3 linked regions of the Kluyveromyces lactis genome follow. The protein of the gene in region 2 interacts with the protein of the main gene of each other region in a biochemical or structural test. Links are inferred from orthologs where the notes say so. Each region holds a gene or a part of one and is shown on either strand. Other genes may lie near its edges. The genes, in order: UBA1, UBC1 and APC11.

The links.
Region 1: of the proteins of UBC1 (region 2) and UBA1, one has a biochemical effect on the other in vitro, tested with the Saccharomyces cerevisiae proteins (5 studies listed by BioGRID, with this or other methods). The link is inferred for Kluyveromyces lactis from reciprocal best matches to the Saccharomyces cerevisiae genes UBC1 and UBA1.
Region 3: the proteins of UBC1 (region 2) and APC11 form a complex in vitro, tested with the Saccharomyces cerevisiae proteins (3 studies listed by BioGRID). The link is inferred for Kluyveromyces lactis from reciprocal best matches to the Saccharomyces cerevisiae genes UBC1 and APC11.

What each region holds. Positions count from the first base shown.
Region 1 is NC_006038.1:1,252,737-1,256,995, forward strand, and holds the start of UBA1 (E1 ubiquitin-activating protein UBA1), read right to left. Parts: upstream 2,920-4,259; coding exon 1-2,919. Other genes in the region: Ran GTPase-binding protein MOG1, read left to right, coding at 3,454-4,047; HOC1 (alpha-1,6-mannosyltransferase), read left to right, coding at 4,257-4,259.
Region 2 is NC_006039.1:1,653,312-1,656,004, reverse strand, and holds UBC1 (E2 ubiquitin-conjugating protein UBC1), read right to left. Parts: upstream 1,219-2,693; coding exon 532-1,218; downstream 1-531. Other genes in the region: YCT1 (Yct1p), read left to right, coding at 1-270; KLLA0_C18634g (CDC50/LEM3 family protein), read right to left, coding at 1,550-2,693.
Region 3 is NC_006041.1:1,570,446-1,572,884, forward strand, and holds APC11 (anaphase promoting complex subunit 11), read right to left. Parts: upstream 1,062-2,439; coding exon 573-1,061; downstream 1-572. Other genes in the region: KLLA0_E17733g (glutaredoxin), read right to left, coding at 1,279-1,914. UniProt on the Saccharomyces cerevisiae protein: Probably catalytic subunit of the anaphase promoting complex/cyclosome (APC/C), a cell cycle-regulated E3 ubiquitin-protein ligase complex that controls progression through mitosis and the G1 phase of the cell cycle.

The sequences.
Region 1 (4,259 bases), on a different chromosome or scaffold from region 2:
CATTCTATCCTTTAGTTTTTTTGGAGGGAAGAATGATGCGTATAGTAAAGAAACATCGTAGGAGACCATTGTAATTTCCAATCCTTCTTCCTTGTTGAAGTGATCAATCAACTCTCTTAATGTGATATCACCTTGAATATCGAATCTATCCCATATTTTATCGAAAGTCTTATCATTGTATTTACCCTTTTGTGATGCGATTGGTTCTGAGAAACCGAAAAATGGAAGAGCTAAATTCACAAACCCGTTCTTGTATTGTTCAATATCTGTCTTTCCAGCGACGACTTTGTATAGTTCTAGGTTGACCAATCCTGTAACCAAAGCAGTGGTTGTAGCGATGGCAGGAATGATACGGCCAGCAATGAACTTAGTCTTTTGACGATCAGCTGGTTCGATAGAGTAGTTTAGAGCACGGTTGTTCGATGCAGCAGTAATGAACTCAATATGATGGTTTGTATCGTCATCCTTTTCAAATTCAACTGGGATTAGTTGGAAACCAGCTAAGGTAGAAGCATCTGGCAAAGAAGCTGCCAAGTTTTCTAAGACATCGCCACCAAGCTGGTTGTTCGCGTTTGGATCTGGTTCATCGTCATTGGTTTGAATTTTGATGTCAGCTTTTGGAATAAATTCAGGAACTATAAGCTTTGATAGGACGGATTGATAGTAGTTAATGTCTGGTTTACCATCATCTCCCTTTAGACCATAATTGAACGCACGCAAGTTAGCAGATGCAACGATGAAGTGGAAGTGATCTGGGTTTTCGATATTGAAGACTAATGGTTCAGGGGCACGCTTTGGACCAGACCAGAATGGCTCCCCGGTGGATGTTGTTGCATCCTTAGGGAAGTTGTAAAGAAACTGTTGGATATCATAACTAAACTTCTTTTCAAATTCTAATCTTGCCCATTTGACACAATCTTCAAAGTTGTAAGGTCTATTGTTTAGACAATCACTAATTGATTCTAAGATACCTTTGGCATCTGGGGCTTGTTTCAAAGTTTGTTCTACGAAGTTTGGTTGCGTCAAGTATAGGTTAACATTTTCAGCTGCGTCAGAGAAGTAGCCTTGGAATAGGGATTTGGCCCAAGCGATAGTGTGATCAATCTTATTAGGGAATGAACGCAATGTACACAATGGGATTGACTTTTCAGGAGGGTCTCTTGAAGATGAATAAGATTCTGTCAGGTTAGGGATAACCACTTGTGTATTACCCTTTGTCCCCAATGTTCCCGATTCTAGTAAAGGTTTCTTGTAGAACACACAACGACGGTCGACATAGGTACGAGCATCCACATTATCCAATGCGTTGGTAACGAAGTCTAATTGATTCCAAAAAGCATCGTTGAAAATATTCTCTGTTTCAGCACCAACTTTGTCAATCTTTGGCTCGATCTTGCCCTTCAAATCAGGATTCATTGCACTTACAGCATCAGCAGCAACTTCAGATTTATTTCTGCCGACATCCTTTGGTCTGAACAAGAATTGACGATTCAAATTCGACTTTTCAATTGAGTCATTGTCGGTAACAATAATTTTACCTTCAGGGCCAGAAGCCAAACCTAGTAAAGCCCAATTCTTGAGCATCTCACAACCGATCGCACCTGAACCCACTAGGAATACCTTCAAATTTGCGATTCTCTTTTGGAATTCCAAACCGAATACGGAAATTTGGTTATCGTAACGAGAGTTGATTGGTTTCGTGGTATCTGCATTTCTTGGGAAATCTTCAGAATCTGGTAGAGATTCGATGGAATCGAAATACATGTACTGTTTAATAGGAGTGAACTTACCGGAGGAGGCCTTTAACACTTCTTGAGCAACCAGACCACCGAAGAAAGCAACGATACCTGGAATATCACCTCTTGCTTGGTTAGCTAGTTCTGTGATGAGCTTTTCATCAACTTTCCCCTCAGAACCCAGCACTTCAGGTTGTTGTGTAGCTAAATCTATAACGAGTTTAACTAATTCATTAGAATCTTCTTCATAAAATGGCCTTGGCAATTCACCTTGATGTCTAACTTGGAACTGATGTAGGGCCTGGAAACCCAAGTGTAATTGTGCAGTAGTCTCGAATTTGGCGAAATCCGAGTACAGGAACTCTGGTGTTGCCAAAGATTCCCTTAAAGACTTGAACGTTAATTTCTGTGGCATCTTGACCTCGGTGAACAGACCACCTTTCTTGTATGTACCAAGATCCTTAACAGAACCAATCTTGAATGCGAACGGACCCAACACCTCGACCTTGTAAGGAGTACCATCATTCAACTTCTCAAGACCTTCCACCTCGGAGAATTTGACGTAATTGCCATCTTCTAACCCATGTCTGTTATCGTCCAACATGGTCACTGTACCATCCGACTCGATATCAGAAACAATACCTGTCTTTGGCTCTTCACCAGTAGTATCAATAACGGTAAATTCTTCACCTAAATCGACGAAAACGTTACCAAATAACCCACGGGTCTCCGTAGAAATGAAACCGATACCGTGAGAGTGTGTATACTCATTCAACTTCACCTTTTCTTCTAGTGAAATCGTGTCTGTCACAACAACTACTTGGAATTCAGACAATTGTGACACGTCTTCTAGCCCCTCTAGCACCTTCACTGGCACGTATGAGTTTAATTCGGCTAATTTTGCCTGTGATACTTTATCTCTAGCTTGCCCAATATCTTGTTCTGACAGGAAAAACTGCGTAGAAAGATCCTGTAAAGCGACAGCGCTTGGATCATAAAGGGTTAAAGACTTAACACCGGCCAAGACAACGTTCTTGGCAATCTCGACACCTAAACCTTTTAACCCAATGATCAAAACGTTCGAATGTTGCATCTTTAACATCGCTTCTTTACCTAATACGTACAATTGACGAGAGTACAAGCTCTCGTCAATTTCTTCGCCATCAACCTTAATATTCGTCATATCTGATACTAACTTGTGATGCAATGTGATCAAAATGAACGAACGGTTCACTTCTTGTTGCTATTGTTGTTTTAAGGAAACTGGTTTGTAGTTGTTTATAGGTTGTTGGCCTTATTAATTCGGTTTTTGCCACTTTGGGTTCGGTCACGTGAGTGGTTGAGTTTTCAGTCACGTGATATGAATGGAAGATGTTCGAATACAATACGACAGAAAGTGAAGCATTTGAGGTGATAGTATGGTTCCAAGAGCCCATATAAATTGTTTCGTAAATAATTAATTAATACGAGACAGTAATCACTTGATTTAAACCCATTTGGCATGCTTGAAGCCATCATTGCATACAATAAATGCATTTACACCAGCACACCACATAATATTTGAATGTTCGTCAAATGTGATATTTGATTTTCCCTTACCTTGAAGACGAGATGTCCTTCTCAAGAGATAAAGAGAGAGGGAGAGACTTCGACTGGCAAGGACAGCGCGATTGTTTACTCTACCCACAGTCTGACAACCCTATATATCTAATTTTCCATGTCCCATTGGATCAGACAAGAATTGTACGGCGGTGCCATCAGCACCGTCATTCCCAAGACGTTTCTTGATGCTTCAATGCTAAGGCAAGTACCAGACACACAGGAAGTGTTCGTGAATAGCAGACGTGAGAATGAACCTAGTGAGGATGGGCTCGGGTTCGATGAAAGTGTGATCGTAGACCTAATGCAGCGTGTGGAAGAGAATAATGACAGAAAAGCGTTAGATATCCATTTGGCAGAAATTTCAGAACTCAACGGATCACAGAAATGGACAGTAATTGACCATCAAGAGCAAACGGAACTCAAATCACAGACATGTATCGTTGTTGAGACCGCATACAAGTGGGGCAAACAATCGATGAAGGAAACCGTAGTAATGTGTGTTGCATTGCTCAGGTTGGATCAATTCGATACCGACGTCATCATTTCTGTTCACGTGCCTATCTCATCGGAACAAGAACTGAAGGCCATGGAACAGGCAATTGCGCAAAACTCACCGGAAAAGCTACCTCAAAGGGTGCACGCGTCCTATTCGTTGCTTCGGGACATGATCTCGAGCTTCAAAGTGGAGGATCCATCGTTATTTGCATGATCGAAACCAGGTATAGTAAAAGTATAGTAAATTATATATCCGGGTAATGAATTTCTTTAAGAATGAGTGTTTCAACTATGGAAATGGTATTATCAATGATAAACAATACATACTTATTCCTCCATCAGCTAGACTCTCAACGGTATATCACTACGAGCGGGAGCCCTGGTGTTGATTAGTGGTTCATAACTTGCGCTATCCGTGTGAAGATG
Region 2 (2,693 bases):
ATTTCACCTCAATTATGGCAAGAAAAGGACGGCCCAAGATACATCCCAGCATGGATCGTTCAAATTGTGCTATCGTTCTCCATTGCTCCATCGATTGCAATCGTCATCTGGTACATTCTAAGGAAGAGAAATCAAGAAAGAGCCATTAATTTGGAAGCTGAAGAAAAGAAGTTCGGTTTGATCGAAGTCAACGGTGAAAGCATCAAAGCTAACATCGCAATGTTGGATTTAACAGATCATGAGAATAAAACTTTCATTTATCCATTGTGAAAATAATAATGACGATATGTGTGTGTATGTATATATTATCCAGTTGCGACATTTCATATTGTAGCATCGTGTTTATATTAAATTGACTTTAATAATACCGGAATTGATTACAGAGAAAGCAAATAATAGTACTTATATATACGGTTTCATATATGATGAACACACTTCTTGGTTATAAGAGAGATAGTGTGTGTGTGTGTGTGTCTTGTCTTGTCCTTCTTTCCTGAAATGTTCAAGTCTGAACTTCTTGACATGGAACACTTATTCTTTTAGAAGCTCTTCTAAGATTTTATTGGCAGTTTCATTATCTTCCATGCTCATGCTCTTGATGTTTAACCTCTTTAAAACTTCAATAACGTTTTGTCTGTCAAATCCTTGATTGACAAACTGCGTCACCAAATCTTGATCAATTCCGTACAGATCTGCTTCATCAAGTTCTTGAACATTCTCTTCGGTACCTTTGCCTAGACTGTTGGTACCATTATCCCCTCCGTTACTAGAAGCATAAGTCCTTGTCCATAATGCTGCAGTCTCATCGAAGGATTTTTTGTCAGTCAAATAATGTTTGGCAACTTGTGCATCCTGTGGATCATTTGGTTCCGGTGACTGTAATAAAGCTTGTAAAGAAATCAATGCAGATTTCAATGTTATAACTGGAGTCCATGCATTCTTTAATATATCAAGGCAAATAGCACCAGTTACAGATGATACATTGGGATGGTACACCTTTGTGTCAAACTTCATTTGGGGTGGTTTATACGGATATTCCACGGGTATATTTATATCAACGACGAATTTACCTCCCTCGTATGGCGTTCCACTAGGGCCAATGAAGCTGCCCTTCATATGATGGATATCAGACTCATTGACAAACTTTAACTCAATTTGGGCCTCTGGATCCTCTTTCACCGCTTGGATTTCCTTCAAAATTCTCTTCGACCTTAGCATCCTGTTAGATTAATTGGTAATTCAGTGGCACTTTCAAATGCACCCGCTCCAGTTATTGGGTGTAATAAACCGTTCTCGAAAGATGTGATAACTATGAATAAGCACACGTATATATGTATGATCTTTTCTTTCCATACATTAATGGATGTTCAATCGTTTGCATACAGTATCATCAATGTTAATGGTATTTGATATAAGAAGTAGAAACTGGTGATGAGGGTAACAAAGACATGTTTCCCTTTCAACATAACTGAGTTAAACATCACCTATAAGATTATAGTACATTGGTATATACTGGTTCGTTGTGTATATTAGATAGAAGGTTCACGTATTATGTGGTTGAAGAGGAAGCAGGAAGTTGACTTTCATCGTCTTGTTCCGCGAAGTGCAAGAATGTGTGATCTCCCATCTTTCTTGGAGTGATAATCAATTTAATGACAAATATTACACCGAACAAGATTGCAATACCGGCCACGATAAGGTATACTATCCCTAGCGACATGTTTCTGCCACCGATAATACTATTTGTTGTCAAGATGTAAGATTTACTTCCTCCAAAGATCTGTACTGGATAATTTAACTCGACAGTGGTTTCGTAAGTACCCTTTTTCAACGTGCTAGTTTCGTTTTTTGCAGCTAGTTTATAGAACTTGGGTAGACCTGCAGTTCTCATCCATACTTGTAGTTCTTCCCATGTTGAAACGTCTGGAATATTATCATCAGTATAACCGTCTGGGTATTTTTTACTCCAATTTGGAGGAGGCACTATCTGAGAAGCGTTGTATTTCGTCTTCTTGTACCTCTTCCTATCGGTACTCCATGAAATTCCCTTGTTCGTTAACTCATATGAGTCGTTTTCGTTAGACGTGTTGTTCAAGGATAATGAAATGGTATCGTTAAAGAGGGAATTAGCGATTAAACCGCATGGATATATCGCCTTACCGTCAGATTCCTTGAGCGGTTTACACTCACTGACTAAGTCATCAGTATCCACTGCTTCACCTTTTAATTGCCTGATATCAAACGAAGAAACGTACTTTCTGTGGTTTTGGTAAAAGTTGGTCAATTTGTAATAGATGTAAATAGATTTCTTAATATCGTTTGGAACTTCAAACTTTAGGTAGCACTTGGTTATACCATCTGCTGAGTTCACTTTCCATTGGGGAGCAGCAGATGGCTTACCCTTGAAGTGGTATCTCACATATTTCGATGGGATGTTAATATAACTCCCTCCAGCTAGCGTCCGACAATCACTGTAGTCGATACTTAAATTTTGAACGTTATTGACAGTTATTATGAGCCCGATTCCGATTGGTGCAAAGATAGCCGCTACTATAATCAATAGCGGGAGAACTGACTGTGGGGATAAGATCGGCTGCCATGCTTTCAATCTCTGTTGCCTGAAAGCACTGTTTGGTGGTCTTTTAGATTTCCTACTCGAAGGTACTTCTTCAGATTCAACTGAATTTCGATGG
Region 3 (2,439 bases), on a different chromosome or scaffold from region 2:
TTTTTAAAGTCATTGGGTTTAATCATGCTTCTCTCTTTGTAGTAACAGAGTTTCACATTAGGGGAAAATCACGTGATAAGAGTGCTTTTGGGGAAAAGCCACACGATAGGTACCGCATGGTCGTGGCTTGCTGAAACGGTAGGTCAACGTACAATCGACGTGTGTACTGACGAACAAACATTGACTGCAACACGATACCATTTTACAATAGTATACTGGTTAGCTTATCGCCCTTTTTTATTGAACCAGTGGTTGTGTATTCTCACATGAGCTTGATCATCTGATTGTAAAAGTATCAGGTGTAGTTGTTTTTCTTACCCCATCAAACAAGAAATTAACAGCTTCTATGGCCAAGTTGGTAAGGCGCCACACTAGTAATGTGGAGATCATCAGTTCGACTCTGGTTGGAAGCATTTTCTTTTTTGTCTCATGTGAGCAAGAGACACCACCTGTAATATGGCCTCGCTACCTAGTATACTTAGCCCATCACTGATGATTTGAACCACTACTCTATCCTATTACCAATTAAATAGATGTACACACACATATCTTCAGCATATCGAGTCTTCCCTTCATCGTATGAAGCCATCATCCATCACATCTTGATCTATTTCACCACCACCCATCGGAATGTTGTGCTGTCTCACACTCATCAACAGTTTCTGGAACTCATCATGGTGCATCTTATTTATCAGAACGTTAGGCCTCAACTGGAATCCTTGTCTACACAAGGGACACAACCCTTTTGATGTTTCAGTACTTAGCCATTGCTTGATACAATGAACATGGAAATTATGATTGCATAATCCTAACACAATTGGACATCCGCTACCAGGGTAATCACAGGAGGGGCAAGTAGCATCGTACCGGTTACGACAGATCCCACACACTTCATATTCTTCTTCATCGTTCTCTGCATCCTCATCTTCATTCTGTATATCTTCCCATTTTTCCATATGTACCGTTTGATCTGCAACACCATGTTTCCCTTTCGATAAATCCTTGGGAATATCCCACGCCCAAGTGCTCACTAGACTGACATCTGTTACCTCTATACGCATAGTAACACGGGTGAAGTATCCTTATCGCAGGCTTTATCCTCGTCACAGTTCCCTTCGTTCTGTCTTTGTGTTTTCAATTCTTCCTATCTAATCCTTTCTTATAATATATTATACCCATATGCATAAAAGTGTCACAGGTTCTATTACAAATTTAATAAAGGGATCAGATCCACTGTAGTATAGTATACGAATGTTTATATATGTTATAGGCCAAGTTTTAAGTCGCAGCAGCAGCTTTCTTCACGGATAAAGTAGATCCGGCCCATGTCTTCAAGCTCTGTAATAATGAATTATCCTCATGTAATCCAGCAAATTCATCGCTACCACCACGAGATATACCATTGATAATAACGTTAGGAACAGTAGACCTTCCTGTCTTGCTACCGATATATTTCTGTAGTTCAGCTCCATTCTCATGCTTATCCAATTCAACGATAGTATAAATTGGATCAAATTCATACTCCTTCAACAAGTTCTTGAGCCTCGTACTGAAAGGACAGTAACTCTTAGAAAACACCACGATTGGTGATTGAGAAAGGATATTCTTGTACTCAGCTTCAGCGTTGTATGTTTCTACTTCAGCAGCGAAATCAGAGTCTTTCACACCGTTGGGCCCAGCCATATTTTTAACTGCGTTGCTGGTATCAGCAACAACCGCGTTACTCTTGGTTTCAGCAATACCTTCTTGGATATTGTTGATGTCACTCTCGACCTTGGCATCATTCGCGAGGTTGCTAGATTCTTTCCCCACGTAAGAACGCGTCACGGACTCTGCATTGTGCCTGATGAAGAAAAGAACGAAAATCACCATACCGGTGAGACTTACCAGCCTCAAACTTCTCTTACTCAACATCTCGTTTCAACAACGCCTGGGATCTGATAATCTATGAAAGTGTAGACAGACGGTGTGTCCAAAATCTAACGTGTCTTGTTCATATTGTTTCATCATTTTAAGGTTGTATGTGACAAGAACCAATTTCTTAAATAGCAAGAAATTTCACTATTTCATTCTTGACCAACAGCCGTATCATCGATAAATAAGAGAGAACTAAAGAAACAGGGGAAAGGATGGAATACCTATGGGTTTGCCGGACGCATTAAAGCATAAATAGTGTATAAATAATACTAGATACCACCCGCTATCCTGAATATATGCATATTTATATTTAAAACGGAAAATTTACTGGAAACATAACGCGTAAGATTTTAATTTGCGGGCAGATTAGATGTTGTTGAATTAATGATTGTTTTTATAAATATTATAGTATGATATGCGGTAAAGTCTGTATTAGAATTAAAATGAACGATAAGATCAGTTGTTAAAACAGTATTCTAAACTTCAATTAAAGAACAATCAGGAAAGAAAATTAGAAAGAAC